Linked DNA regions of Oreochromis niloticus. The protein of the gene in region 2 interacts with the protein of the main gene of each other region in a biochemical or structural test. Links are inferred from orthologs where the notes say so. Each region holds a gene or a part of one and is shown on either strand. Other genes may lie near its edges.

Region 1 (7,436 bases), on a different chromosome or scaffold from region 2:
TGCCAAGATATTTTAAACACTTGTTTTTTCTATTTTTAAGACAGGAAGAAGAATACCAGACATATAATTGTACCTGTCCCTTTAGCTGGACACCTGCTGCTCGTCTTGTAGCTTCATGAAGCACCATTTGATAGGGTAACACAACCAGCTACACCAACATAAACAAACCACAAAGACATTAAATGAAAACCAGATCTTGTGGGAGAAATTCAGTAAGCAAGTAGCTTTTGTTGACAAATCGACTGGCGACTCCCTGTGCAGGGAGACCTACCTGTGCAGGGGGAATAGCGAGACGTGTAGCGTAATAAGGACATGAGTGCGTTTCCCTGCCCAGCTTCAAAAGCTGCTCTATGTCATGAACAGCCCCCAGAACTACATCTCGCATCTGCTGCAGTGCTGAAGCCTTATTATAGGGACACACGCTCTTTGCTGGGCCTCGCTTACGTTTTACACCCTCTTCGTGATGATGCTTCTCTACAAAATGGAAGGAGAGATGAAAGAGGCTTTCTCGAGAAAAATCAATAAAGCCTGAGGTTAAAATAATTTCTGTAAGAAGACCAATTCTTCTACAAAATGCCTCTCACCGTGCTTGTTTTTCTGCATCTCCATGCAACGGTCATTTATGCGCTGGATGCTGCCCAGCCGCCGCACTTCTTCATTGATGCACAGATTCTGTAGAATTTTATAACAGGACAATGTCAGATGTCAGTGTCAAGAGTCACAGTTTTATTCATTGAATAAATGTAATAGTTTGTGTGCAATGCCAAGTAAAGTCTCAAGTACAGCGTCTTTGAATACTGTGTATTTCATAAGGGAAATCCCCTCCTAGAACTAGATTGTTCAATGTGCTATAGCAAAGAACATAACGCCATTTATCTTGCATTTGTTTCTCCATTTTTTTCTGTCATGTAGAGGATTTAACAGGCCAGTCTTCCCAGCGCTGGCTGTTGTTAGGTGCTACTTGAGAGTTCTGTCAGAATCTAAAAGGACTCTTTCAGAATTAGACAGTTTCATAACTGTTCCCCATCATATCCTGTTCTGCAAATGTTTTCTTGGCTTTATTATCCTCTGAAAATTAAGATCGGGTTTTTTCCTACATTTGAAAAAGCCTCTAACAGGCTGATTACACACATACGAGTCTGCATACGTCAAAGGCAATGAACCTTTGTTAACTTATTTGTTATTTCTGACCATTTGAGAAACAAAATATAGTTATTACACGTGTGTAATGAAACCTAGTTAACAAAGCACGTTGGTGAGATTCCTTTAGCTATGCTTAAAACCTCCTCGGGTGGGAGCAGTAAAAATTCTTCTATGAAAGAAAAACTGCCAGTAGGTAAACAAACAGAAAGACTTTTTTTGGTGGCATACTTTATGAACAATCTGTACTTTTACTGACAAAAAAATAGAGACAAATTATACCAATCAGTTACTTTGAGGAATTAAAGGAAATTGCCAGAAATCTCTCAAGTACTCGAGCTGACAAAAGAGGCACCATGGAGAAACAGTCAAAACCAACTTCAAGAAAAAAGTATAATCACATCTATTGAATGAATAAGAGGACAGGATGAAGAGATTCATGCAAAAAATTATCAGCTCATGTTCATATATATTTTGTGTTACTTTAAATAGATATTTATGTATTCAACCAATAATGACATTTGTGTGTTTTTGTGTGTGTGTACCAAATGCTGTATGTAGGACTGCATAAACATTTTTTTCAACAGTAGAAAATATGTTTTTTAACAGTCGCTGCTGGGTACATACCTGCCGTGAACCCAGTGTGACCACGCTGATGTCCTTGCTGAAGGGGCTCTTTTGTACCTCATGGACAAACTGGGCCAGTTGGGAATGAGTGCGGCTGCAGTAGTAAATCTACAGATATGCATATGAACACAGTTCCACATGAGGGGAATGTCCGATGCTCATAATTATAATAATTTCCATGCTATAAATATATCCATCCATCCAACCCATTTAACTCTTACAGCTGTGCAATGTGAAATTTCATACCTTAGTAACATGTTCTTCAACCAGTTCATCATCCTCATCTTCTTCTGCTCCAAAGAATCTGAGGATGCAAGCAAATAAATCCTTTATCAATTTCAGACTCTCATTTGGATTATTTATTAATTTTACCCATTAATTCATGTCCTCACTTAGTTTATTAATATATAACTAAAGCTAAACTCAAACTAACGATAACTCTTGTATGATACACACAAAAAAGTAATCAACGGGACTGTATCATCAGAGAAAACACAAAATTTTGAAAAACCTAAATAGAAGACACAACTGAGCTGATCGTTTTGACATATGAACACTCTATGACACATGATGCAAGACTAGTTAGTGGGCAAAGAAGAAGAAAAATGGCCAATGACAATAACATGTACTGGGACTGCTGCTTTGCAACAATCGCACCAACGAACAAGCAAATCCACTCTGGAAACTAACAAAGACTAAACTGAACTGTAACCAAAAACTCAAGATGAATTCAAACTAATTAGAAAATATAAGATAAGATAAGATAAGATAACCTTTATTAGTCCCACACGTGGGAAATTTGTTTTGTCACAGCAGGAAGTGGACAGTGCAAAAGTTATGAAGCAAAAATTAGAATAAAATAAAATAAGAATAAATACAGTACACAACTGTACAGAATAGAATAAAATAAAATACTATATACAGTAGAATAAAATAGAATAAAATATACAATGAGATAAAAATAGAGTACAAATGCTATATACAATTGAGTAAAAATACAACGATGAATATGAAACTATAACAATCAATCTTCCTCACCTGCCCTTAATCTTTGACTCATCATCGCTCTCATATTCTGCAATGATCAGCTCCTCGTCTTCTTGATCTCCTGTTGCCTCGACCTGCTCCTCTTTACTGAGCTGAAGCAGCTTGAATGCCTCATCCTCTTCATAGCTCTATGAACAGACAAAAGTATTGTATTAAAATTACTCCAAGTCACTCGTAATTTTAATATCCAAGTGAAGCTCCATTAAATGCTCGTGTGCATGATGGCTCACCTTTCTTTTAACCGCATACTTGAGCTGGACATTATTCCGGATCATTTCTAACCGTTCTTCTCTCTTCTTCCTCTTCAATTCTTCCTCCTGACACCAAACCAATCAACAATAAGCAAACTTTGTGCAAGTTCAAATCCAGACTTCGCACACACTTCACATCCAAGTTTTCCTCACCTTCAACTTTGACACTAAGTCACGTTCTGCTTTTTTTTGCACAAAGTCAGTGATCCAGTCCAGCTCTGCTGAGGAGCTGGCTACAGAGGATTGAGCAGCATTAGTGGAAAGAGCTGCTTCTCCTTCCTGCAACAGAGCAGTTGCCTCCTGCCTCTTTCTCTCCTCATAATCTCTTAGCCAGCTCAGTGCTCCACATATCAGACTCAGTGACTTGCCCTAGATTGACATAAATAGACAAAAACACTTATTAATGAAGTCCAACAGCTTCTGCACAGATATGCTTTTCTCCCATCTAGTACACACCGTTCCAGTGGGACTTTCAAAGATGCCAACTTTGCCTTTGTCAAGTGCACTGTACAGGGCTTGCATGAACTCCTCCTGGATGTTATAGGGCTGATAGGGAAATGGAAACTCTGCCCTACTATTTTCCATGCTCCTAAACCTAACTGGAAGGAAACATAAAAGCAAAGGTTAGTTTCAACATTTCATTTCTGATATGTAGACTTGCCTCTACAAACAACCGATTAAAGCACCTTTTCAATCCAGACGAATTCCTTTTTCGGCTTGGCTCATTTTACTACAATAACTAAATCTTCATTAACTAAATACCTTACCTGTTCACCAATACGTTGCGTCAAGCAGCTAACATTTGAAACCGACAGCTTTTCAGCTATCTTTAAAGTGAAGCGTTATGCTAGCTAGCAATCTTTCTCCTTACAATCGTATCTTTTAGCGAACGTCAATCAAAATCTGAGAAAATAGTACTGCCGTTTCTTACCGTGTATATCATGTAAAATAATGTATTTGTCTGTGTTTTCACTTGTCAGTTCCCGGCTATTCAACAACCGCGCCAACAAACAGAAGTGGTCACAGAGTCTGGCCAATAGGAAACGAGCTACGAGAAGGAGTGCGTGTTTTAATATACACTAACATTTGTGCGGACGGGGTTGTGTGTATTTATCCACGATTTTGTCATTTACTGTAACGCTGTTTGATGACAAGGAATGTCAGATGTAGCCTTGATATTAGCAATTTGAGTACTGACCTAAAATATTCGTAAAATAAGCATGAGCATTGCTCGTTGGATTTGCTGCCGCCTTCCAGGTAGATCCTTTAAACTATATTTAACGTCGACTACGTTGGTCCCTCCCCCCCGGTACCTCCTAGACTGTCTGGAAAGTTCTCTGCCCTTCTTTAAGCGTCTGTGAGATGCCAGATTGCAGGACAACGTGGACTGAAGGCAACATTGCATAAACCTCGTATTATAAGCTGATAGCAGCGTGACTAGTGAACTATAGCAAAGGGCCCGTGTTGCTAATTGGAAGTTGTGCTGTATTCTCGAGGAACTTAAGCTAGCTAGTTAACGTTAATCAGGTTGTTGCTTGCAGCACTTGATCTGAGGAGTAGTAGGAGCTTTAGCCGCCGTCACTATTAGCCAGTGTTAGTTTGGATTGTGGTGCAAGGCAGAGAAGGGACAGATCAGCTTCATGACGATGACTGCAGAGGAGCAAACAAGTGAAGTACAACATACAATCCCCCTGGAGGGAGAGGACATCACACCAAAGAAAGATGGGGGTGTTTTAAAGGTAAAAATGGTGCTTGATTTGGTACTCAGCACCTAGCTAGCTGAGTAGTTAGCTGACAGCTTGTTTACTATTCGGCTAGGCTAACGTTAGCTGTTGATAGCTATGCTGTCGCATACACTGATTTAAAAAAAATACAATGAAAGCTAACTTTAATGCTAGGAACACCTTATAATGAAATGCAACGTCACAGATATGAGAACTAACTCAGTACCAGAGTGTCAGAAACAAGACTAGCTGTCAATGAAACGGTCTGCATTTCTAGAAGGATCTGGAGCCTTGAAGAAACAACTGTCATTTTATTGATGGACACATTCTATGTTTCATCGCACAATGAAACACATACTGAGGGCTTTAAATATATAGGCCTTCATTCAGAATAAACAAGTTTGTAATTTAGTCGTTCACTACGCGTGGTGCGTGTGCAAGGCAGCGATCACATGCATGTTCAAGAAATTGCTTTCTGATGTTCTTTGATAAATTCTCGTCTTACCTTTTTCTCCAGGTGATCAAAAGGGAAGGTACAGGCACGGAACTGCCTATGACCGGTGACAAAGTGTTTGTACATTATGTGGGCACACTTCTGGACGGGACTCATTTTGACTCCAGTAGAGACAGAGGAGAGAAGTTTTCCTTTGAGTTGGGCAAAGGTTAGTTTCATATTTGTTATAGCTGCACAACCAGTGCAGGATTTTCTCTACATTTTAAAAAATGACCTTTTACTAAAGGAAATGAACCAGAATGCATCTAGTAAGGTAACATAGGCTGTTTAGCCAAACTATATATGGATTAGCCAAGCTTACCTGCATATTTAACCCCACATAACCACAAAACCAAAAAGGGAGGGGCAGCTTGAGACAAGAAAAGCCTTAAAGTGTGAGTTTTAATCTACTTTTTTTTCCATAGGACAAGTAATAAAGGCTTGGGACATCGGTGTAGCCACAATGAAAATTGGGGAGTTGTGCCAGCTCATCTGTAAGCCAGAGTATGCTTATGGATCTGCAGGCAGCCCACCCAAGATACCACCCAGTGCCACTCTTGTTTTTGAGGTAAGGATGCCAGTTTTCATTGTCCATTAAGTACTTTTATTTGTGCAGTTTGAGATACTGTATATTGCTGCGCTTCCATGATAGGATAGAAATTGAGAAGTGGCTTCAATTCAGTGAGTACAAAATACTTCATTATCTTTTTGCTTCCAAGTTTATAAATTACCTTTACAGTTCAGGTTACGCATTGCAAACCAGTGAGGTCAGGCTCGCTGCATTGAATCCTTGGAAATGTGTAGTAGAGCCAGCTTTATTTCAGTCAGTCCGTCTCGGTTGTCTTGCAGTGGATTCCAGCTGTGGATCATAAAATGTATTTGGTTAAATTTAGCATTTAGGATAACTGAATCAATTTTTCTGATAATGCTTATCTCTTTAAGTGCTGTCTCTGTGGCCAGAATTGCAAAAAAGGAAATCATGATAAGCAGTTTCACAATTTGAATCTCCACCGTGCTTATAATTGTTGCTTCTGATGGTGTTAAAAATTGTTATACAGCCTTCTGTTTTCATTGTTTTGCGTAAAACCAATTGTTGCCTTTTCATACATTTAGAATAACTGATGTAACCTTTTGTTTAAAGACTACAGTAAAAGAAAAGGAAAAGGGAAAAAAACACAGTAAATGGGTGAAAAACAAACAAACATGAATGAATGCTCCTCCCCACCCCCTGCCCCCAAAAGAACTAATTTTTTGACAAAAAATGGGGAACTTTGGAAATTTTATTGGAAAAGTTGTTGGGGTTTTTTAATGAAAAGATATACATTTTTGTCACATGTCTACACACTTATAGGTGGAACTGTTTGAATTTAGAGGGGAAGACATAACTGAAGAAGAGGATGGAGGAATCATCCGACGCATTATCACTAAAGGGGAGGGATATTCTAAACCTAATGAAGGAGCAGCTGTTGAAGGTAATGCATCCAGAAACGTGTTTGATACATTCAATTTCATGTTTCATATTTCCATCTTTGGAAAGTAGAGTCCCTGCTTAAATGTGTTTAAGTAAGAGCATATTGAGGATAATAATCTTTTCAAACTAAGGGATCCCACAGGGAAAATGAAACGGCATTAAAAGAAACAGCATTGCCTTTGGTTATGGTGTTATACGTCCCTTATTATGTTTTAACAAATCCACTGAATAATAATTCAGTAACTGATTGGTTTTGTCACCAAGAGTGGACTTAAAGAGTGGACTCAGTCTGCCCCAGGGCAGCTGTGGCTACAACTGTAGCTTGCCTTCACCAGTGTATGAATGTGAGAGTGAATGAATAGTGGTATTGTAAAGCACTTTGAGGGGTCCCGAAAAGCGCTATATAAATGCAATCCATTATTATTATTATTATTATTATTATTATTATTATTACTTGCAGACATAAAGAAGAAACTACTTTCTGCTGTTCCCTTGTCACAAGGGGTCGCCAGAGCGAGTTGCTTTGCATGTTTGATTTGTGAGTTTTACACTTCTAGGCACAACCACAGAAGGATTTGTGACTCCAGCTAGAGTTAAAAAAGCAGCATTTTACTTGCCAAGTCAGTGTCTAAACCACTACAATATAGAGCTATTCAAAAGTAAACCCGAAGATATCCAATTTC
Region 2 (7,278 bases):
TAAATATGAATCCCATAGAACTGTAAAGGAATTATTCATTCTGGATTAAAACCTTTGTTTAATGTATGAAATGTTCTTAGAAGGCCAAAAAAAATATATGCAGTAGTCGTGACAACAGACTACCCCTTCCTATGCTAAAAAAACAAAGTTAGTTTTTGTTTCATCTTTGAATTTCAAGTTGCTATTTTTTTAACAAAAACACTACACACATTGAAGCTATTAAGGGTTTCCAAAGCATCTGAACCCCCCCCAAACCCCCAACCCCCCAAAAATGCCAGTTCTGTGATTGACAGAAGGAACATGTGCACATCAGCAGGCCATGTGGCTGCCTGAGAAAAACTTAACCGAAGAAGTTCATAGTAAATTAATTTAAACTACAGGTGAAAATATAATTATTCGAAAACACAAAAAATACAGAGGTACAATTTCTTTTTTTTCTGAAAAATGTTACCCAATATGTTCTTCCCCTTTAGATGCCTGAGAGTTCTGCACACATTATGGAGGAGGAGGTGGAGACCTTTGCCTTCCAGGCTGAAATTGCTCAGCTGATGTCCCTTATTATCAACACTTTCTACTCAAATAAAGAGATCTTCCTTAGGGAACTCATCTCCAACTCCTCAGATGTAAGGGAAATAAACACTTCAACACCATGTTTTCCAATTTTTTTGAATGTAAAGCAAGCCCTTATATTTTTTGCCCCCCAAAACTATTTTAATTGAGTTATCTATTTTCGACAGGCCTTGGATAAAATCAGATATGAAAGCTTGACGGATCCCACCAAACTTGAGTCCTGCAAGGACCTGAAGATTGAAATCAGGCCTGATCTGCACGCTCGCACCCTGACCATCCTTGACACAGGTATTGGCATGACCAAAGCTGACCTGATCAACAACCTGGGCACAATCGCAAAGTCCGGCACCAAAGCTTTCATGGAGGCTCTGCAAGCTGGAGCTGATATCTCCATGATCGGTCAGTTTGGTGTGGGTTTCTACTCTGCCTACCTGGTAGCCGAGAAGGTGACAGTCATTACCAAGCACAACGATGACGAGCAGTATATGTGGGAGTCTGCAGCTGGAGGCTCATTCACAGTCAGGCCTGATACAGGTATGTCTTAGTCGCCTCATTTACACAACAATTGAATCAGTCATTTGACCTTGTCTGCCACGGTTCTAATTTTGTTGTTGATTTTAGGAGAGCCAATTGGCAGAGGCACAAAAGTGATCCTTCACCTCAAGGAAGACCAGACGGAGTACTGCGAGGAGAAGCGTGTCAAAGAAGTTGTGAAGAAGCACTCACAGTTCATTGGCTATCCCATCACACTTTTTGTAAGTTTTTAATTACACAGTAAGAACAATTATCCAATCAATACTTGATAATAACCACACATTGGGTGTGATAATGGTATGGCAAAGCAAAATTTAAATATGCCTTTGCATATTTAAGGTGGAGAAGACAAGAGAAAAGGAAGTAGACCTGGAGGAGGGAGAAAAGGAAGAGGAGGTTGAGAAGGAGGCTGCTGAGGACAAGGACAAACCTAAGATTGAGGACGTTGGCTCTGATGAGGATGAAGATACAAAGGATGGCAAGAACAAGAGGAAGAAGAAGGTCAAGGAAAAGTACATTGATGCCCAGGAGCTCAACAAGACCAAGCCTATCTGGACCCGTAACCCTGATGACATCACCAATGAAGAGTATGGCGAGTTCTACAAGAGTCTTACCAATGACTGGGAGGACCATCTGGCTGTGAAGGTAAGCTAAATCTTCTTGTGATAAAACATATTTAGCAACACCAGTTGCAATAATGTTATGCTAATTAATACATATCTATATCTTACCCCTGCAGCATTTCTCAGTGGAAGGCCAGCTGGAGTTCCGTGCCTTGCTCTTTGTACCTAGAAGAGCTGCATTTGACCTCTTTGAAAACAAGAGAAAGAGAAACAACATCAAGCTTTATGTGCGCAGGGTCTTCATCATGGACAACTGTGAAGAACTGATCCCAGAGTACCTCAGTAAGTAACAATAAAGTAACACATTAGTAATAGTGAACAAAATCTTGACCCTTTAATGATGCATTCTCTCAAAATTCATAGTTATTAGTAATTGTTTTTGGAACTCAACTCCTGGCTTTGGGTAGCTGACCAGTTTATTTTCCCTACTCAGATTTCATCAAGGGTGTGGTGGACTCTGAGGACTTGCCACTGAACATCTCCAGAGAGATGCTGCAACAGAGCAAGATCCTGAAGGTCATCCGCAAGAACCTGGTCAAGAAGTGCCTGGAGCTTTTCTCAGAACTGGCTGAGGACAAGGACAACTACAAGAAGTTCTATGAGCAGTTCTCCAAGAACATCAAGGTAGGATCATCCATCTAAATTTCTTACACTCTAAAACTTCAGAAAAAATGTATGATACCAATCATTTTGCATTGATGTTAATAACACAAAATGACACATTGTTTTTTATGCTTAGCTTGGAATCCATGAAGACTCCCAGAACAGGAAGAAACTGTCTGAGCTGCTCCGCTACTACACCTCAGCCTCTGGAGATGAAATGGTTTCCCTCAAGGACTATGTCTCTCGTATGAAGGATAACCAGAAGCACATCTACTACATCACTGGTAAGTTATTCAGTGTGGTTTCCTTTTCTTTTGTTTTCAAGTATTCCCTGGGAGTTTAAGTTCATATAACACCATACTGAAATAACTTTAACAGGTGAGACCAAAGACCAGGTTGCCAACTCTGCTTTTGTGGAGCGCCTTCGAAAAGCTGGCCTGGAGGTCATCTACATGATTGAGCCCATTGATGAGTACTGTGTCCAGCAGCTGAAGGAGTACGATGGCAAGAACTTGGTTTCAGTAACCAAGGAAGGCCTGGAGTTGCCTGAGGATGAGGAGGAGAAGAAGAAGCAGGAAGAGCTCAAGACTAAGTTTGAGGAACTCTGCAAGATCATGAAGGACATCCTTGATAAGAAGATTGAAAAGGTAATTTTTCTCCTTCAGAAAATGATAAAGTTATTATAGTTAACATTATTAGGCATGAGAAGCTTGCTTGACTGTGTTCAAACATACTAAAAATACTGTATTTCCATCCTGACAGGTTGTAGTTTCGAACCGTTTGGTTGCTTCCCCCTGCTGCATTGTCACCAGCACCTATGGATGGACGGCAAACATGGAGAGGATCATGAAGTCTCAGGCACTGAGAGACAACTCCACCTTGGGCTACATGACTGCAAAGAAGCACCTTGAGATTAATCCCTTGCATCCAATCATTGAGACCTTGAGGGAGAAGGCAGAGGCTGACAAGAACGACAAAGCTGTGAAGGACCTGGTCATCCTTCTGTTCGAGACTGCCCTGCTCTCCTCAGGATTCACACTGGAAGACCCACAAACACATGCTAACCGCATCTACAGAATGATCAAACTTGGTCTTGGTATGTATAGCTTTTCCTTCAAACATCCAGGTAGTAGTTAGGTTATTATACATTAATTGAGGAATTTGTTTTTTAATGGATGTATTTCTATACACAGGAATTGATGATGATGATTCTGCAGTTGAAGACATAATTCAGCCTGCTGATGAAGATATGCCAGTCTTGGAAGGCGACGATGACACATCAAGAATGGAGGAAGTTGACTAAATTATTTACTAGACTTTTTCTGGCTTTGATTTTTATTTTTGTAATTTATGTTCCTAATTTAAATGTACATTATTTTTTAGCAGAATTTCTGTTAGTAAACAATGTGCTAGTCAGAAAAAGTTGATGGAATTAATACAGACCACAGTGGCTTTAGTTTATATTGTATCAGCCACTTATAAAACTTCTGACAATCACTAAGAGTATTATTAAGTCACCGGGGTTTAGACTTATATCTCTTTTGTAACATTTTTTATGAAAAGCAATCAAATTTGTAATAAAATATATTTTAAAAATGACACCTGTCACTTTTCTTATCTTATCACCTGTCACTTAATTTTATCACTTGTTTTTGCTTCCTACAAACAATAATACTGAAAGGTGAAAAGTTGTATTAGAGAAGCGCTTAATACAGCTAAGTGGCTTACTTTTATCAATTACATCGTTTGATTTATCATGTATTCTGGAATTTTCAGTGAATACAGCATGGTTCATTCTAGTTTCTGCTCTCACATGCCTTCCTCATTCGGCTCAGCCTCCCCTCCCTTAATCCCGCCTCCTTCTGCCAAGAAAGGCAGAGAGGCATGTACACGCACCATGATTGACAGGGCACCGGGCCAGTGAGCGGCCACCACCGAGCAGGAGGATTCCAGACGGTTCTGGAAGCTTGTGTCAGGAGGATTTCTCGAATGGTCATAGAGGGTATAAAAACCGCACCGTTACACCAGTTTCCATAGAAGCATTAGCAGTCAACGAGCCTGCGAGTAAGGAGCGATCTCTACACATCTTCCTCAGGAGTTTTGGGCACACTGCAAACCAAGGTAAATGCATTAACAGCCTTACCACAGACATTTGGGATACGAAAATATTACACGCCCTCAAATTCAGATTTAATAGTACTAAATGTTAGCTTATTTGACAATAATTTAGAATCGAAGCTGACATTTTTGTCATGTCTGGATAGAAAGTGAGGCTGAAGTGAAGAAAGGGTGAAATGTAGTTACAGCACCTGGTCTTTAAAAACTGATTAAAAAGTATCTGCTCTGAAATTTTAATGTCAGCGTCATAAACGGTAATAAGAATTTGATTCCTATTGTGCCTCATTTCAGAATTCAAACCTGCGGGACAGTAGCCACATGGCAGGATGCTTTAGTGATGCATTTGGGAGGAAGGTGTTATGTTAAGCAGGGGTTTAACTGTTTGAACCTTAATCAAATTTCCTGTGCTAAGATTTCTGCAAGATTTTTTGGGCCATCTTATCCTTGTACCAGGTTTTAATTCAGTGCAAAATCAGTAGGGTACAGAGTGTGCATTCTTATAATCTCGTCAGCTGTATGAGAGGCGGGCGCTTTCGATTCATATGGAAACTGCTAGAGAGTTCTTCTTGCCTCCTCGTACCTTCTAGAAACTTGCACTTCACCTGGGAAACCAGCAGGTGGAGTAATTTCTGCTGATACCGATATGCAATTCAAGCCACGTGTTAATCTCTGATTAGCCAATAACCAAGCAGGATTGAATCACAGTCCAAGAAGGGGGGAAAAAAGGTCCTTGTACCTTTTAATACAAAATTATGAAAGTAAGCAAGAAAAAAAGAAACCAAAAAAAGTGACTATATACTACACATCTACACAGAATTTGCTTTAGTTTGAAGTGATGTTAATTCCTCAATGTTACATTGAGGCTACTTAATAAGGATAAGCTGTAACTGCAACATCTTACATAAGAAGGATTGGCAGTGTTTTTCAAGTGTATGTTGCTGGGATGCAAACATTTAGTGTTATAAAAAAGAGTATTTTATATTGTGTTTCAGTCACTTTAGTCAATGCATTTTTTTTAAAAACAATATTTGTTTTCCGTCTTCACTCAGATGCCTGAAATGCACGACCAACCAATGGAGGAGGAGGCAGAGACCTTCGCATTCCAGGCTGAGATTGCTCAGCTTATGTCCCTGATCATCAACACTTTCTATTCCAACAAAGAGATCTTCCTTAGGGAACTTATTTCCAACTCCTCAGATGTAAGTTTGCAATATTAGACTGTGTTGCTTTGTTTATTATTTAAAATAAAAAAGACATTAAATAATATGCTTTTTTCCCCCTTAAGAAATTGAATTATATTTTTATCAATACAGAATAAATTCTGGAATTTCTTTAAACAATTAACATTGTGTTTTGCTCCATCAGGCACTGGACAAAATCCGCTATGAGAGTCTCACTGATCCTTCCAAGCTGGAAACTGGCAAAGACCTCAAAATTGAGATCATTCCCAACAAAGAGGAGCGTACTCTAACCCTAGTTGACACAGGTATTGGCATGACCAAAGCCGACCTGATCAACAACTTGGGCACAATTGCAAAGTCCGGCACCAAAGCATTTATGGAGGCTCTGCAGGCTGGAGCTGACATTTCCATGATCGGTCAGTTTGGTGTGGGTTTCTACTCTGCCTACCTGGTAGCCGAGAAGGTGACAGTCGTTACCAAGCACAACGATGACGAGCAGTACGCCTGGGAATCATCTGCTGGTGGCTCATTCACAGTTAAAGTAGACAACTGTAAGTGATATAAACCCAAATTTGAAGTGAATTATTAATTATCTAACCCGGTGGTTATAAAGTATACTGACCTATGGTCTTCCTCTACAGCTGAGCCACTGGGACGTGGAACTAAAGTGATCCTGCACCTCAAAGAAGACCAGACAGAATACCTTGAAGAGCGAAGGGTCAAAGAGATTGTTAAGAAGCACTCACAGTTCATTGGCTACCCTATTACGCTATTTGTAAGTACTTAAGTCATATTTAATGATCCCATAGAAGAATTCAATTTGTAACTATTGCAGATAGCTTTTGCACTTTAGACTTCTGAGAAAGTTGCTGAATAAACCTCTGTAACACTGATATTATAAAATAGTGACTCCCTAAGGCTAAGGTGTAGGGAAATTCTTCAGCGTGTGACCAAATGTATTTTCCTTCAGGTGGAGAAAGAGAGGGACAAGGAGGTGAGTGACGACGAGGCAGAGGAGGAAAAAGAGAAGGAGGAGAAGGAGAAAGATGAGGAGAAGGATGAGGACAAACCTGAGATTGAGGATGTTGGATCAGATGAAGAACAGGACCATGAGAAGTCAGACAAAAAGAAGAAGAAGAAGAAGATCAAGGAAAAGTACATTGACCAGGAAGAATTGAACAAGACCAAACCCCTGTGGACCCGGAACCCAGATGACATCACGAATGAGGAATATGGAGAGTTCTACAAGAGTCTCACCAATGACTGGGAGGACCACTTGGCTGTCAAGGTTGGGCTCTTGATATGTTGTTTTAAAAATGTAGCAGTTCTTTATAGGAGGAAAATTGTGTCTGATTTAATGTAGCCCAATATATAATCACTTTTGTTTTTTTATTTTTTTTGCCTTACAGCACTTCTCAGTAGAGGGTCAGCTTGAATTCCGTGCCCTGCTCTTTGTGCCTCGGCGTGCTCCTTTCGACCTCTTTGAGAACAAGAAGAAGAAGAACAATATCAAGCTGTACGTGCGCAGAGTCTTCATCATGGACAACTGCGAGGAGCTCATCCCAGAGTATCTCAGTGAGTATTAAACTGTGGATTACAATTTCCCCAACAATAATAGAATTATAATGAAAATGACACAATGGACTCTT
Region 3 (7,784 bases), on a different chromosome or scaffold from region 2:
GAGCATTAGCAGACTGCCTCCTGGGTGGTGGAACTGGAGGAGGAAGAGCTCTAGACTGCTGGGAATACTGATGCGGGGAACTGGATGTTCCATAAGATGACTTCCGACCCATCTGAGATAACCCTGTATGGGGCACTGGCTGGCTTTGTCCACTCTCGCTGCCGCGAGGGCCTTGATATTTGCTCTGTCTGAAATTGATGACAGAGCTGGAATCCTGCTGTCCCAGTGCGTTGCTGGGTTGTCTCATCACTGAGCTGAAATGAAAGCCCAGCATTCAACAAACAGTAGTCCTGTGACATGCTTTAAACTTTTAAAAAGATAACATCTGAATTTCTTTGGTCTCTGTCAACTAGGCACTAATTTAAGTGCCACAGCTTAAACAAGAACTTTGAAGTGCAATGATAATATCCATGGTTATGAAAACTTTTCCACATGTCATTATCACAGACCAATTCATCAAGTTAAATACCATGTGGGTATATTTTAGCAGTTTACATACATGAGCTATAAGAAAAGAGAGAAGCTACAGTGTAACCAATGATCAGTTAAAGACACCTTTTCTCTTTAGCTTTGTATGGATGAGGTATGGGTCCATAGGCTCTAGTTGAAGGGGTAGGTCCAGGGGCAGGTCTGTTGCTGCCATACTGCTGGGCTGGAGCAGCCTGTGAGTTGCTTTGTCTGTTCCACTGTTGGCTTTGAGGGACACCAGAAGGGGAACCTGAGGCCTGGTAACACCCAAAGGCACCTAAAGAAAAGGTCAATTCTCACAGGTAAACTATCACAACAAACAACAACTTCTGTCTGTAGATGTGACGGGTTATATAAATGACTTTACAATGCTAACCAATATTCTAAAAACATGTAAAGTCAAGCATACCTAAAAGTATGTTTAATTTTTCTGTGGATACACTGACATCTAGTGTCAGAAATAAAGCAGAAGCTTAGAAAATGAACAGTTCACCTGCTGGGTTGTGAGATATGGCTGAGCCGGTGTTTGGTGTGTACTCGCTGTGAGAAAAGAATTCATTCTCAGAGGGAAGAGCGGTCAAAGGAACCCTGTTTCGTTTCTTCTGGTTAAAGAGCGGCACAGAGAGGCAGCCTGGAGAAAACGGCAGAGGAAAGACCAGTGAACGAACCACAGCGCAACATGATGCTTAATGACACCACATACTCACTGACTGTTCATTATTTAACCTATTTAACTCCTCATGTACAAATAAACTCCACAGCTTGCCACATTTATCCACACACAAAGGCTCTATCACACAACCTGGCTGGAGTCAAAGAAATCAATGACTATGAGGTGGAGATGAATACACTGGTGTGCAGACTGTGAAGTTATTTATTTTTTTACCAACCTGATGTAGGCCTGGCCGCCTGGTTTTCCTGTCTCTTCATTGTACTTGCTTAGTTTGCAGTTTATTTAACTGGCAGGACTTTTTTAGCAGGGAAAACAAAGGTAAAAGAAAAAGACTATACGCTTGGTTTTCTGTGTAGTGCTGGAGGTTAACTAACTTGGAAAGTAGTAAGCTAAGCTAATTTATCTTGCTCTGGCTCACTAGCTAATAAGCTAGCTGTAATTTTTAGACATGTCATACAGTTACTGCCTGAAAGTTCAAAGTGTCGTGCTTTTACAGAACCAACCCATTTTCTGTGAACATCTTACATAAATGACCAGGTCGTTGTTGGTGAAAACTTGACAAAGTATTACAAAAAACTAAGACAACGGAAGTTAAAATTCAGCACCTCTGAAAGCGCCAAAACTTCGCGGTGACAGGTGATGCCTTCACGGTCTATAAGCAAGCTTGGACTTTGTAAACGCAGCCTCGAAATAACGGCTGGTCAAAAAATAATTACCGTGACATCTATATTTTTTGTGAGCTATTACCTTTTGTTTGTGATGTTTTTTGATCATCTGCTTTTGGCTGTTCTCTTATACACAAGAGGTCGCCACAGTGGATGGATCCACATATTTCATTTACACCGAATGTCATTTCCGATGCAACCCTCCCAGGGATTTGTATCCCTCCTTAAACCGGGAATATTTCTTGTGTTAAGCACTGCGGTCCTTTTTGGCAATATTGTATTCAAAATGATTATACATACAGTAGCTGTGGTCAGAATTTTAAATGCAATCAGGAAAGGTCATGAATGTCATGGTAATTTGTGGTTTTTAATCATTTCTTTGAACTGTTCTTTTTCCAGCATCTCTCTTTTAATGACTTTAAAAAGTTTTAAGTTCTAATTTATTTGGGATTTTTTTCTAATACACACTGGGTCAAATGTATACATACAGGCTCAAATACAAGAATACACCCACCCCAATATGGGTGAAACGTTTGATAGCTGTCATCAAGCATCTGTCATAATTCTGGCTGAATTTTTAACCATAATTCTTGGGATAATTGGTAGAATTTGTTAAATTAATTAAATTTAAAGTCATTAAAGATGTATGTAGTGCAATAATTCCACTCTGGAAAAACAGTTCAAAGAAATCATTAAACGTGCAAAACTATTATCACATTCATGAGTGTATCTTCCGACCACAACTGCACATGACATAATTTTAAAATTCCAGGTTAAAAATAATTCTAATAAAAGCAGGTGATATTTTAATTGTTATTGTTTGACCGTCGCCTGATGCACATGTTATGTGTTATTATACCCATAATTATAAATAATAATATAATGATAAATTAGAACATTTGCAGCAATGATTAAAAAGCAAACTTTTTCTGTTATGTTTCGCTTCAGAAGCTTCAAAAGTTCACATTTATGCACTATAATTCTTGTCAATCATTAACAATAAATAGAAATCAAAGTTTAATTTGAGCTAGATAAAAGTCAGTCTGACCTTAGGCTGTCAGGCTGGCCTTTATTTAACCAACTTATATTACTTCTACAGACATAAATTACATTACTGCACATTCGTTAGGAAACTATAACAGAAATATGATGACTGCAGGTGTTTTGTCCTTTAAGCAAAGTGAAATTTTACATTCATGTTGTTAAGATCACAATAGTTGCAACATTATTATCCTTACAACAAAAGATGAATATGACTGAATCCGGGTGTGCAGAGCATGACTGCAGTGGAATATAAAGCAAGTCACGACTCTGTGAAGGGAAATAAACATGCAGATTATAACATGATTAGCATTTCACACAAGCGGAGACAGAAACAGTAGGATGTGTGTGTATTTGTGTGATAACAGCAATCTGTTTACCCCTGTCTTCCAGTAGATGGGGGAGTGAGACAAAGAGCAAACTAACAGCCAGCGGGCTTCCTATGTTACTTTTTAAACCTACTTCCACACACAGCTGTCATTCATTTCTCTTAGTGTGCTGTTTACCACAGGAAAACATGGATTTCTCATCCTTACCCAAATCCAAAGAACTAGAATGTACAAAAATGTGTGTTATAAGCGTCACCTCATTTACTAAAGTCTCTGCCATGGTGAAATGTGGATGCGATCAGTCCTGGTGGTGCTTCAGGAGATGAAAATCAAATGAAAATGAGGCCATGTTTGGTTGAGTGCATAAGAAAAGACGTGGGCAAAGGTTTACAGCAGTGCCATCTCTGCTCTTGGTTTTGTGTAGTGCCTGAGGCTCAATGTGCTGAGTTCGAAGGCCACCTTTTGATCTTGGCTTCTATGTTTTGACTTTTCTAGCTTTGTGAATCCATAGCAACAGCAGCACTGATGGTCTATTCAGAATGTCTTCCACGTCCTCTTGATCCATTGAGAAACTCTTTGATGAACAGATAATTTGTGAAGCTGAGACTTCCAGGTGAGAAAAAAATACCTAATCATTTCGGCAGAGCTGCTGAAATTATTAGGATTTTTTCTGGGATTCCATAGAGACAGTGACAGTGCTAATGGCATAATCAGCTATAACAACTCTCTATAGGCAGAGTCTTTCTGAATAAAAATTGGGATGGTTTATTTCCCTGCAAAAGTCCACTGGTCCAAATAGTTAAACAATTTAAGAGTAAAATGGCAAAAGAGATTTCATCAGTAGCAGGAATGTCAAACATAAAGCCAAGGGGACCAGTTTTGGCCCAGCAATGGGTGTGCCATAAATTTTGAGCTTTTAAAACTGTGTGTTTCAAAAATTTTACACCTTGTCCAGCTGATAAAGAACTCCCCCACACAGGCCTGTCAGGCACTGAAAACATAAAAATACTAAAAGGGGGGGGGGAGCAGGCCCCAAAGTGTAAAGAACATGAAATCCTTTATGTAGAATAAGTTTAGCATTTTGCTTTCAGGACTACAGCAACTGGACTCTTCTGTTCCCAAATAGAATGTTAAAAGATGAGGCAATTACAACATAACAAATCCCAGCTTCACTGTAGTCATGTTGATTGCATGCACATTTTTTCTTGACCTTTTCCATAGCACCCCAGCTTTCTTCTTCTTCTTGGAAACAGGAATCTCACACAGTCCAACCTAATCACTAAACAGCAGACTCATTAACTTATAGTCTAGTGCAACTGTGGGTGAGTAACCCTGAGATTTTGTCTTGGACATTGTCTGCATGTCGTGTTTATCTGTTTTAGTGTGCCAAAAATAAATAGATACAAACATCACCGGCTTTGAATAAGTTGCTGGTCTAAATAATATTTTCGGGGTTAATATGTTTATGCCCTCACTTCCAACCTCTTCCTCATCTCTGTGCTGCTCAGAGAGCCAGTAACACATCTTGTGTAACGTAGCACCGGGTTTTCGCTCATCTTCTGGAAGTTTCAGCTACTGTGCTATATATTATTGCTCAGATTCCCCTCACGGGTGAAACGCTCATCTGGAAGCTGATTACGGATTTTCTACCTCCTAAACTGGCAACCTGCATGTTGTTGAGTGGGAGGCGCTAGTTCACAGTAGTTTCTGGAAAGGAACCTCATGCTTGCACCATGGAGAAAGTGAGTGTCCTGCTACTTATTTAATAATTAAAACTTTCTAACTATCATATTTAAGACATATTTGTGTATTCCTTTGAGTTCTTTGGGAAAAAATTTATTTACAATAATTTGGAGGTCGGAGAGGTTAGTCAGCTCTTTATCCTGACCGCTCACTGTTTGCTAGTTAGCTTGTTAGCTTAGCGTAATCTCGTTAGTAAGGTGTTGTAGTCATTTGGGCTTGCCGTTTTCACCCGTCACAGAACATTTTGACAGCACTAAACTGCAATGTTGCTTAACTTCATATTTCAAAAAGTGCAAGTTAACTTGAATGTTTATTCGCGCAAGGTTGTGTCTCACTTATGATAGCACACGACAAGGTTAGCTAACTGTTAAGCTAGCGTGCAGCAACTTAATTTGTCACACTTGCTTTTTACGTAAAATTATCCCTGTAAGGTTTGCCTGCCGCTGTTGCCAGTGGACAGTGTAGGCTCGGTGTTGTAAACCAGCCTTTTAGCCTTCTGCAAACATGGGCAATATACAAGTTACCAAATCTCAGTCAAACGCTATCTTTGGCTCACAACGTGAATTTTTATCAGTATGTCAGGATAAGAAAAACAGAGAGTCTTGATTTTATTAAGAAACAAACAAACAAAACCTTTGTGACCCCTTTATAAAACGAAAGCAGACGACTGTGAGCTTTTGCAGCAGTCGGTCTGTAAGCACATGCTGCAGGAGTATTTTTGGATTAGCTTCAGCGGTGCCATCGGCAGTCTGCACTCACACCGGAGGATCATTCTAGATGCACACACAGGCGAAGCTGTCATGGCTACAGCCGCATGTTGTCGTCAACTGCTGCGTCCTCTCGAACGTTCCGCATAACAGCTGCATTCACAGATATGAATGGATTTCATATCTGAGCTATTTTTATTACTTAAAAACTACTGTTGCGCTCAGACTCGGTAACCTATTTGTCCAGCATAAAATCAATAAGTGTGGTGCACGTTAGAAGTCAAAAGAGGGCACTGCCTAGTTAGAAATGTGCTGATGTTGCGAGGAATTTGTCCATGAGTTTAATTTTTATTACCTTTTTGTATTTTCTGGATAACGCCAAACTAAGAAATATTACATTAAGGATTTGACACATTGTGAAAGTAAGACTTGATGTATGCCTCAAGGTTCTTGATCAGCATTCACCATGGTGCAACACATCTACAGGTTTCATTTTCATTTTGGACCGACTTAGTAAAGATTATATGTGGATTATTACAACTATATGCACATTGTTTACACCCTAAGTACTAAAATGACTAGACTGTGATTACTTAATGCTTCACACAATGTATCCAAGTGAAGCATTTGGTCAACAACTGGACCTTGGTGATATAATCAGCTATCCCTTCCTTTAAGCTCCATAATATTTACTGAATATTCACTTTTTTTTTTTGACTAAACCCTATAGCACTGCAGGGGATTGTGATGTAGCTATGTTGTTTCAGACTGGATTAGGTCTAATGACTGCTAAGAAGAAAGTTGTGCCACATAACACTTGAAAGTTTTTTATCGTGGCTAGTTGTTAGTGGACTGAGTTTTATCAGACAGTTTTCAAGAGGAGCCAGCAGGGAGTGAGAAAACCTTTTTGGAGCAGCGTGGTGCTTCTTTCTTCTTGGCGTGTCATTGATTCTGTTAGATTCAGAGGAGGCACAGCGCGATTACTTCACAAACTGTAACAAGCAGCTTTAATTGACAAAGGGTGTACAGTATATTGACAACCTTTTTTTTTCTTTTTTTCTTTAGCATTGTCAGTATGGTTTGCTGTTGTATTCACTCTAACTTCCTGCAGAGAAAACTTTTAGAGTAATATACGTCTAGCTATCTAACCTCTGTTTTAGTTTAAAAGAAAAAAAATCATTATCTGTAACTGACACAAAAGTGGGGTCACCTTTGAGCTTGCTGTGAGGCAGGGCTTATTTTCAGGTCAATGCGGTAACAAAATAAAAACATTTTCTCTCTGCAAGACTCCTGCACCTGTTTGACACTAACAGCTGAATGATTGTCAATTCCTTTTTCACTTCTGCCAGTAGCAGCTGTGAAGGATTTTTCTCCAGTCAGGATTGTGTCTTTGTGTATTTAGAGCAGCAGAGCTGCAAAACAGAGGTTTTGTAAACATGTCTGTCTGTCTGTGCTTCATAGGCTTCAGCATTGAAAGACCAAGGAAACAAGGCACTGAGTGCTGGAAATGTCGATGAGGCCATACGTTGCTACACCGAAGCCTTGAGTGTTGACCCATCCAACCATGTCCTGTTCAGTAACCGCTCAGCTGCCTATGCCAAGAAAGGCAACTATGAGAATGCTCTCCAGGATGCCTGTCAGACTATCAAGATCAAGCCTGATTGGGGGAAGGTGAGATGTCCTTTTTTATGCCTTTGATTTGTTGACAGAATATATAGTTATTAAAATTGAGGAGACGGTCTAAAATATTTCAAATGTGATCAACCAGGGTTACTCCCGTAAAGCTGCTGCATTGGAATTTCTTGGCCGATTGGAGGATGCTAGAGTAACTTACCAAGAGGGACTCAGACAGGAGCCAAGTAATCAGCAACTAAAGGATGGGCTGCAGAACATTGAGGCCAAGCTTGCAGGTAAAGACTGGATTGTGTTTTTGTTTTGAGCTGCACAGAAACGACGCATAATTATGTCAAAAGTGTGTGAGTCACCTTTTGTTTCTGTGTGGGTAGAGGATTTTGTGATGGCTGCTGACAGCATCACTGAAGTGAAAATGCATTTTTTGAGCTTAGGTTTTCAGAATGAAGGAGACAGTCCGCTTGAGTTTGGAGTGTTTTTAATCAGACTGTGGGTAAATACTACAAGTTACAGAAAGAGAAAAGCT
Region 4 (7,045 bases), on a different chromosome or scaffold from region 2:
GACATGAACAACAACTGAATGGTGGGAATTTAACCACAGAAATCAGGCTTAACACTGCTTCAGGTATCAGAGTAAATAAAATGGGGACAAAGTGAGTGTTGAAGTCCAAAATCTTTACTATGGGACTGATGTGCACCAACCTCAGTTTTATCCATCTTAGCTTTGGACTGTGATGTGGACTGTGGTTTGGCCACACCATTGGCTGTAGGTAGGATCATCCCCTGTGTGAATTCTGCAATTAAAAAAAGAAAGAAGAATTTGTATAAATATAATTATTTGACCCTTTTCTTTAACCTAATCTGAATCTGGAAAACTCTTAACGCAAATTCTACCCATAAAGAGTTTAATGATTTACAATCATGCATAATCTCAACGTGTTCAGCAATTAGGCTCTGGGAGAAATTTGCTACGCGTTAGCTCACCTGTTTTTAAGAACCCAACGTAGCTTTGCAGTGCGTCGCGGAATTTATCCACTCCTTTCGTTTTCATCAGGTTCACCAGCGGCGTGTCGGGTTCATCTTTGTTCAACGATACAGAAATCTGGACACGACACAGGAAAGTAAACTCAGTAAACTCTTCCTCCACCTTCCAGCCAGTCTGAATCAGTGTGCACATGTGCTCTGGTGAAACTTACATCAAGATCCTCCATGTCATTTTCATCAGACAGGTTTGGAACTTCAATTGTTCCTTTATACTTGACTCCTGCTTTTGACTTTCCTGTTCAAACAAAAAATTATAAACATGTCAGCAAAGATTCAAAGCCTCTTCAAACCCGTCTCCTATTTTAGTAATGATAATAAAAATGCAACATATTAGCTCTGTCACTCTTCTCTATAAGCCACTGAAGCTTTTCCCCCCTATTAGATATGAAAATCTACCTGTTAAAGGCTGAGCTGCAAAACTTCAACATATAAGAGATCGTGCCCTGCATTCAAGATGTTTGCAAACAAGCTGGCACAATGCTGATTAAGTCTCAGTGCCTGCTAAATTATAGTCTGGAAGCAATGACGGTAACTGCCACTGTTAGCAGCCAAACGACCAGTTTCAGAGATGCAATTAAAACCAAACTACTGCCTTAAATGAAACAAACAATAATGCTAGTTTTCTACTTACCAGTCCAAGTAGCTTTCACGTTCCACTCATAAAAGAAAATAAGTTTCCCTTTGCGGTTGTTAATCGAGGCCTCTCCTTCGACCTTGCTGACTTCTGTCACTTCACACGTTCCCTCCTCATTCTCCACGCTCAATCCAAGAAGCAGAGATTTTAATTTATCTGATGACCAGTTTGTTGCATCTCTTTCCGTCCTGCAAAGTCCAGCAGAGACCACAAAGATAAGTGAGCAGATCCAAACAAGGAACAAAAAACCCCAACACCTTAACTCAGGATTGTGCACTTTACAAGCCTTCTTCTCACTGTATTTTAAACGTGTCTGCAGTCATACTCAACTGGGAAATTTGTTTTCTGAATCCCAAACATGAGATGCACTGACATGTCATTAAACATATGTCTGTTTGACACTGGTCGTTTGGCAAATGAAAGGCTATGATTGGCCAAGATTTACCTGCTCAGTCACATCAATTGTAAACTAGCAAGAGGAAGATCATGGTACTTGGATCTGCTCTCTTATTCACAAGGAGTTGCCACAGCGGGAAGCTCCACATGTTTAATTTGGCAGAGGCTTTACACCAGATGCCTTTCCTACTGGAATCTCACCTCACATGACTGAATTCACAGATTCACTTGTTTGGGAAATGTGTAAAGCACTACCCTATGTGGCCACTCACTACGAACTAGTTAAATGTGTAAAAAAACAATATATAGAATAGAATAGAATAGAATAATCCTTTAATTGTCCCACAAGGGGAAATTTGGTTATATAGTGTGATGATGAGGATTAAGACTGTAAAACATTAAAGTGAAGGGTTCTTTATTTTCATAACACAAAAGGGGGAAAACAAACAAACAAACAAAACCCAACAATTGTGTACAGTTGTAAAGTGTACATTACTGGTAACTACTCAGGACGTCACAATTGGATCACCCAGTCAGATGGCCTCTGACATCAGTTTCTAATCCTCAGCTAGATACAAATGTATTTTAGTCGGTCACCACAGCTGGAAGGTGGGCACAGACCGGCTTAAGTGACAAATCTCAGGAACCACATTCTAGTTGACTGGTGACAGCGCCCCTTGCTAGTAATCAGTATGGCTGCCACAGAGAAAAGCCTGTAATCAAATGCTCCGAGATCATTACAAAAGACGAACAAATGCCATATTTACAAACTATGAATTTATTCGTATTATTTTGCGTAGGGCAGCTATAAAAAAGTGCAGTCACGTTGTAACTGGGGCTACCACACGTGTTCTGGTGTAACCGATGAAACGCTGGTAACCGTAAACTTACCAATTGTGAGAGACTATAAAGCTTGTTACTACACCAGAATACTGCAGTAGATACAATTGGTCATGCTGCATTTTAACGCTACTGATGTTAAAAGCCGTTACACATGCACTTGAAGCTTCAGCGGCTAGCTACAGGCGAAGCTAACTTAAGAACGCCTGCAATGTTAGCTCGCCTAATTATTTCAAACTTTGATATACCTCAATACTTGCAGCCGGCTACAGACAAAATAATGACCTAAACTTACTTGATCCAAACCTAAACATATAAACTACAGTTTGATACTAACAGGAGCTCGGTGTGTCGTGTTAGCATTAGGCTAACAGCTAAAAACCAATGTCCTTTCATTAGCTCTTACCAATGCCAATTGTTGACATTAGTCGCATCAGCTCTCTCCTCTACAATCCAACGAGGGTCTCCTTCTCCCCACTTCGCCATTTTGTTGACTAAATAATAAGAAACGTTTAACCGTGTAAGGTTAAAAGCAGAGAGCAGGTGTCTGCCGGTGACTATCCACCGATGCGCACGCTGTTTCTAGAAGCCTCTAGCTGCTGCGGGCTCTCAAGCGGTGCTCCTGCGTTTATTCGCCGAGCACAGAAAATGCTGGAAACGGAACGTTGTGGAAGGAGGTAAAAAAAATGTCCCCCCCTTGCCGGAAGTCTGAAGAATAGTTCCGCGTTAGGAATGCAGACTTCTGGAACTACAAAAATAAAATAAGTAAGTAAGTAAATGATTAAGTACATAGACAGATAGATAGACTTTGAAAAGCCTTGTTTTTATTTTCCATTTCAACTGTATTTTTTTTTTAAGAAAGCGCTTCATTCTGCCAGGCTCACATGAACTACTCATACAAATTACTTTTACAAGTATTTTTTTTTAACCAACCACACAAAATTTGTAAATGTTCCAGTTTTTTTGATTTTGTTTTTGTTTTTAAGGATGTACTTTTTTTTGTCTGTTCTTGTCTGTTTGCAAGGGGAAGACAAATGAAGGCCTCACCCTCAGGTTTATGAAAATGGAGATTTTTCACAGCTATGGGGCAATTTTTGGACAAAATAATTGATTAATTATGAAAACAACTCTTAGTGAAACTTCTGATGGCATGGCCTAAACATTTTACATATCTTGAAGTAAACACCTGTGATATTAGACAGTGATTATAAAAATGAGTGGAAGACCGTGAGGGATTAAGTCCATGTCAGCAGATTCTCGCTTTGAGTTTGAGTGAGTATAGCATGAGCTATTATTTATGTATGTTCCCTTTGCTGTGAGTAAAAAAGAAATGGCTGGTGTCCACTCACTGGCCATTTCAATAGGTATAGCTGTTCAGCTGCTCATTAACATGGCTATCTAATCACATAGCAACTCAATGTATTTGGGCATGTAGACACAGACTGAATATTTCATAAACTGTTGATCTACTCCATAAGTCTCTCTCTATATATTTAGAGCAACAATAACTGAAATACCCAGTAATTACAACCAGGGTATGCAGAAGAACATCTCTGAGAGTACGACACATGGAACCTTGAAGAAGATGGTCTGTAGCAGCAAGAACAGCAAACTCGTGCTACAGTTCACACAGGCGCATCAACAATGCACAATTGAAGAGTGGAAAAATCCTGCCTGGTCCGATGAGTCTCGATTTCTGCTGCAACATTCAGAAACAACATGAATGCATGGCTCCATCCTGCCTTGGATCAGTGGTTCTGGAGGTCTAATGGCATGGTGCATAACTTCTTGGCACACTCTGGGCCCCTTAATATCAGCTGAGCATAATGTAAAAGCCGCAGCCTACCTGAGTATTGTTGACCATGTTCCTCACTCTATGACCGCTTCTGGCAGCAGCATCCACCAGGATCATGAACCATGTTGCAAAACTCATGTCAAACATCTTGATGCATTCTCAATCATCCAGGAAAGTAAATCTCCAAAAGTTGAATCTGTTCATCTGGACGTAGCGTTTTGTGGGAGAAACGTTTCGTCACTCATCCAAGTGACTTCTTCAGTCTCAGCTGACTGCAGGTTTCCCCAAACCTTATAAACAGTACATTTGCATAATGACTGAAACCAGCCCACTGAAGGAACAATGGGCTGTGAGGTCAGTTTCTTAATCATAATTATGCAAATTCCATGACCATTGATCAACAATCACTGACCAAAACCCACTGATCAAAGAACACTGATCAATGGTAAATGGACTGGTTCTTATATAGCGCTTTTCTACTCTTCTGAGCACTCAAAGCGCTTTACACAACTTGTGCATTCACCCATTCACACCCATTCGCACAAGCACATTTTTCTAGGTGCTTTCTAAGTAACATTCACACACACATTCATACTCCGATGGATGCATCGGAGAGCAATTTGGGGTTAGTATCTTGCCCAAGGATATTTGGCATGCAGACTAGGGGAAGCCAGGAATCGAACCACCAACCTTCCGATCAGTAGATGACCTGCTCTACCACCTGAGCTACAGCCACCCCACCCCAATGGCCATGAGTACCATTCACAGAGAGTTGGGGAATGGCTGCAATCACAGCATTGTAAGATGGCGAAAGATGTACCCTTAGGCCCCCTCCTCGGTTTGAGCGCGGAGTCAAGGAGGCCATTTACGTGAAAAGGGAAAGACCATCTCTGAATCGAGGAGGGGGCCTAAGGGTACATCTGTCACCATCTTACAATGCTGTGATTGCAGCCATTCCCCAACTCTCTGTGAATGGTACTCATGGCCATTGATCAGTGTTCTTTGATCAGTGGGTTTTGGTCAGTGATTGTTGATCAATGGTCATGGAATTTGCATAATTATGATTAAGAAACTGACCTCACAGCCCATTGTTCCCTCAGTGGGCTGGTTTCAGTCATTATGCAAATGTACTGTTTATAAGGTTTGGGGAAACCTGCAGTCAGCTGAGACTGAAGAAGTCACTTGGATGAGTGACGAAACGTTTCTCCCACAAAACGCTACGTCCAGATGAACAGATTCAACTTTTGGAGACTCATGTCAAACAGTTTTTTTTGGGGGGGGTTTTGTACATGAAAGTGAGTTCACTGTACTCAAACGGCTTCCACAGTGACCAAATCCAATAGGGCACCTTTGAGAGGTGGTTGTGGTGACACGCAGCCGATAAATGAACAGCAACTATGTGATACTGTCCCGTCAATATGCACCAAAATCTCAGAGGAAATTTTCCAGCACCATTTTGAATTAGTGCCACGAAGAATTAAAACAGTTTTTATAGCAAAAGGGGGCTAACCTGGGGCTAGCAAGGTGTACCTTGCTAAAGTTGGCGTTTGGTACGTAACTTATATCCTCTAATAAGTCAAATTAACTCTTATTATCCGTCTTATCCAAAAAGTAGCCCCACCTTCTGTTTTTTGTGTCAAGTCTAATAATTGTTCCAATGAGGTTACAGATCAGTAGCTAGATGTTGGAGCCTCGAGGATTTAAAGTCTGTGTAGGTTCTGGTAACAGGCACATAGATAAGCTAATAACCATTGCTGCAAATGAAAACATCCAGAGGCAGAGGTAATAAGCATCATTAGCGATGATAATTACTGGTAATTACACCAATCAGATTTAAAGAGTCTTATAAAAAACACTAATGAAAAGCCTCCAAAGGTGGCTGCTACTGATTTGGGAAGATATAAACAAAGTGCAGTTTAACTTCTTATTAAACCTGCAGTTTAGAAGCTTAAAAAACAACCATCAATGAGCAAAATACACAATTCTAAAAGACTGTTCATGCAGTTTACTTATCAAAGTGATCTCTATTGAGATGGAAAATCACATGGGATCATATTTGAACTTGACTTTATTGTCTTTTTCTGGCCTTAGTATGGATTTGTAATCAGATCTCTGATTTCTTTAGTACACAGGGAAAGTATAAAACTCAGTGTTCTTTGAATCTGTCTGTCATTGCATTAAAATTTCCAGTGAATGAGAATATTTCCACAGGTTATCAATACAATATATTACCAAAGACATTTCTTTTAAGTGTCTGTCCACATAAACAAGACAGAAAAAGGTGAAAATAAGAAAAAATGACACACCGAGTTAAGTTAGACCAAACTATAAAGGGTTAAAAGCGGTTCTATCAGCTACTGAAACCAGCTGACTTTTTGTTACCTCGCCAGAATGATTTCTTCAGCATTTTAAGAAAATACGAGCATAAGCAAAAGCAAGTCCTTTTCACCACCAAAAGGAAAAAGCTTAGACGCATTTTGTTTGTTTGACTTGGTGAAAACAGAGCATACAGTGACTCAACAAGTATATACCTTTTTTGCCATGTATTAAGTGTAAAACTATGGTTTCTGTTATATTATCTAAAAACAGTTAACACCATTTGAACTTTATTCAAAGGCTTTATTCAAATTTGACTCATAATGGACCAGTGACATTCAAAATAAAGCAGAGTAACTGTTCGGGGTTGAGCAAAATGGTTTTATTATTGCGGTCTCAACACACATAACATGTATAAACCATGCTTACAGCTCACTGGGTAAGATCCACGCACTATTACCCAAAATGTGGTGTGTTAGTTCTGATCACAACTACCAGAGGCTCAGTCTGCATGTGTGGCAGTGTTTTTAAACCCAGTCGTGTTACTGACCTGCTGCCAACAAACCCAATTAGTGTAAAGAG

What was found.
Region 1: the proteins of hsp90aa1.2 (region 2) and fkbp4 form a complex in vitro, tested with the Homo sapiens proteins (4 studies listed by BioGRID and IntAct). The link is inferred for Oreochromis niloticus from reciprocal best matches to the Homo sapiens genes HSP90AA1 and FKBP4.
Region 3: the proteins of hsp90aa1.2 (region 2) and stip1 form a complex in vitro, tested with the Homo sapiens proteins (9 studies listed by BioGRID). The link is inferred for Oreochromis niloticus from reciprocal best matches to the Homo sapiens genes HSP90AA1 and STIP1.
Region 4: the proteins of hsp90aa1.2 (region 2) and ahsa1a form a complex in vitro, tested with the Homo sapiens proteins (4 studies listed by BioGRID). The link is inferred for Oreochromis niloticus from reciprocal best matches to the Homo sapiens genes HSP90AA1 and AHSA1.

Annotation. Positions count from the first base shown.
Region 1 is NC_031972.2:54,490,055-54,497,490, forward strand, and holds the start of fkbp4 (peptidyl-prolyl cis-trans isomerase FKBP4), read left to right. Parts: upstream 1-4,423; 5' UTR 4,424-4,705; coding exon 4,706-4,804; intron 4,805-5,306; coding exon 5,307-5,451; intron 5,452-5,707; coding exon 5,708-5,850; intron 5,851-6,633; coding exon 6,634-6,754; intron 6,755-7,436. Other genes in the region: ATP-dependent DNA helicase DDX11, read right to left, coding at 74-148, 272-474, 585-672, 1,768-1,875, 2,014-2,071, 2,806-2,942, 3,045-3,131, 3,219-3,434 and 1 more. UniProt on the Homo sapiens protein: Immunophilin protein with PPIase and co-chaperone activities. Component of steroid receptors heterocomplexes through interaction with heat-shock protein 90 (HSP90).
Region 2 is NC_031980.2:5,312,734-5,320,011, forward strand, and holds the start of hsp90aa1.2 (heat shock protein HSP 90-alpha), read left to right. Parts: upstream 1-4,273; 5' UTR 4,274-4,451; intron 4,452-5,497; coding exon 5,498-5,647; intron 5,648-5,813; coding exon 5,814-6,180; intron 6,181-6,270; coding exon 6,271-6,404; intron 6,405-6,599; coding exon 6,600-6,917; intron 6,918-7,038; coding exon 7,039-7,204; intron 7,205-7,278. Other genes in the region: hsp90aa1.1 (heat shock protein HSP 90-alpha 1), read left to right, coding at 474-623, 738-1,104, 1,192-1,325, 1,444-1,749, 1,844-2,009, 2,161-2,351, 2,467-2,614, 2,709-2,977 and 2 more. UniProt on the Homo sapiens protein: Molecular chaperone that promotes the maturation, structural maintenance and proper regulation of specific target proteins involved for instance in cell cycle control and signal transduction.
Region 3 is NC_031975.2:9,398,158-9,405,941, reverse strand, and holds the start of stip1 (stress-induced-phosphoprotein 1), read left to right. Parts: upstream 1-4,765; 5' UTR 4,766-4,909; coding exon 4,910-4,918; intron 4,919-7,087; coding exon 7,088-7,297; intron 7,298-7,394; coding exon 7,395-7,536; intron 7,537-7,784. Other genes in the region: spata22 (spermatogenesis-associated protein 22), read right to left, coding at 1-254, 556-745, 962-1,099, 1,889-1,994. UniProt on the Homo sapiens protein: Acts as a co-chaperone for HSP90AA1. Mediates the association of the molecular chaperones HSPA8/HSC70 and HSP90.
Region 4 is NC_031983.2:6,923,491-6,930,535, reverse strand, and holds the start of ahsa1a (activator of 90 kDa heat shock protein ATPase homolog 1), read right to left. Parts: upstream 3,017-7,045; 5' UTR 2,839-3,016; coding exon 2,759-2,838; intron 1,305-2,758; coding exon 1,114-1,304; intron 718-1,113; coding exon 635-717; intron 541-634; coding exon 423-540; intron 233-422; coding exon 141-232; intron 1-140. UniProt on the Homo sapiens protein: Acts as a co-chaperone of HSP90AA1. Activates the ATPase activity of HSP90AA1 leading to increase in its chaperone activity.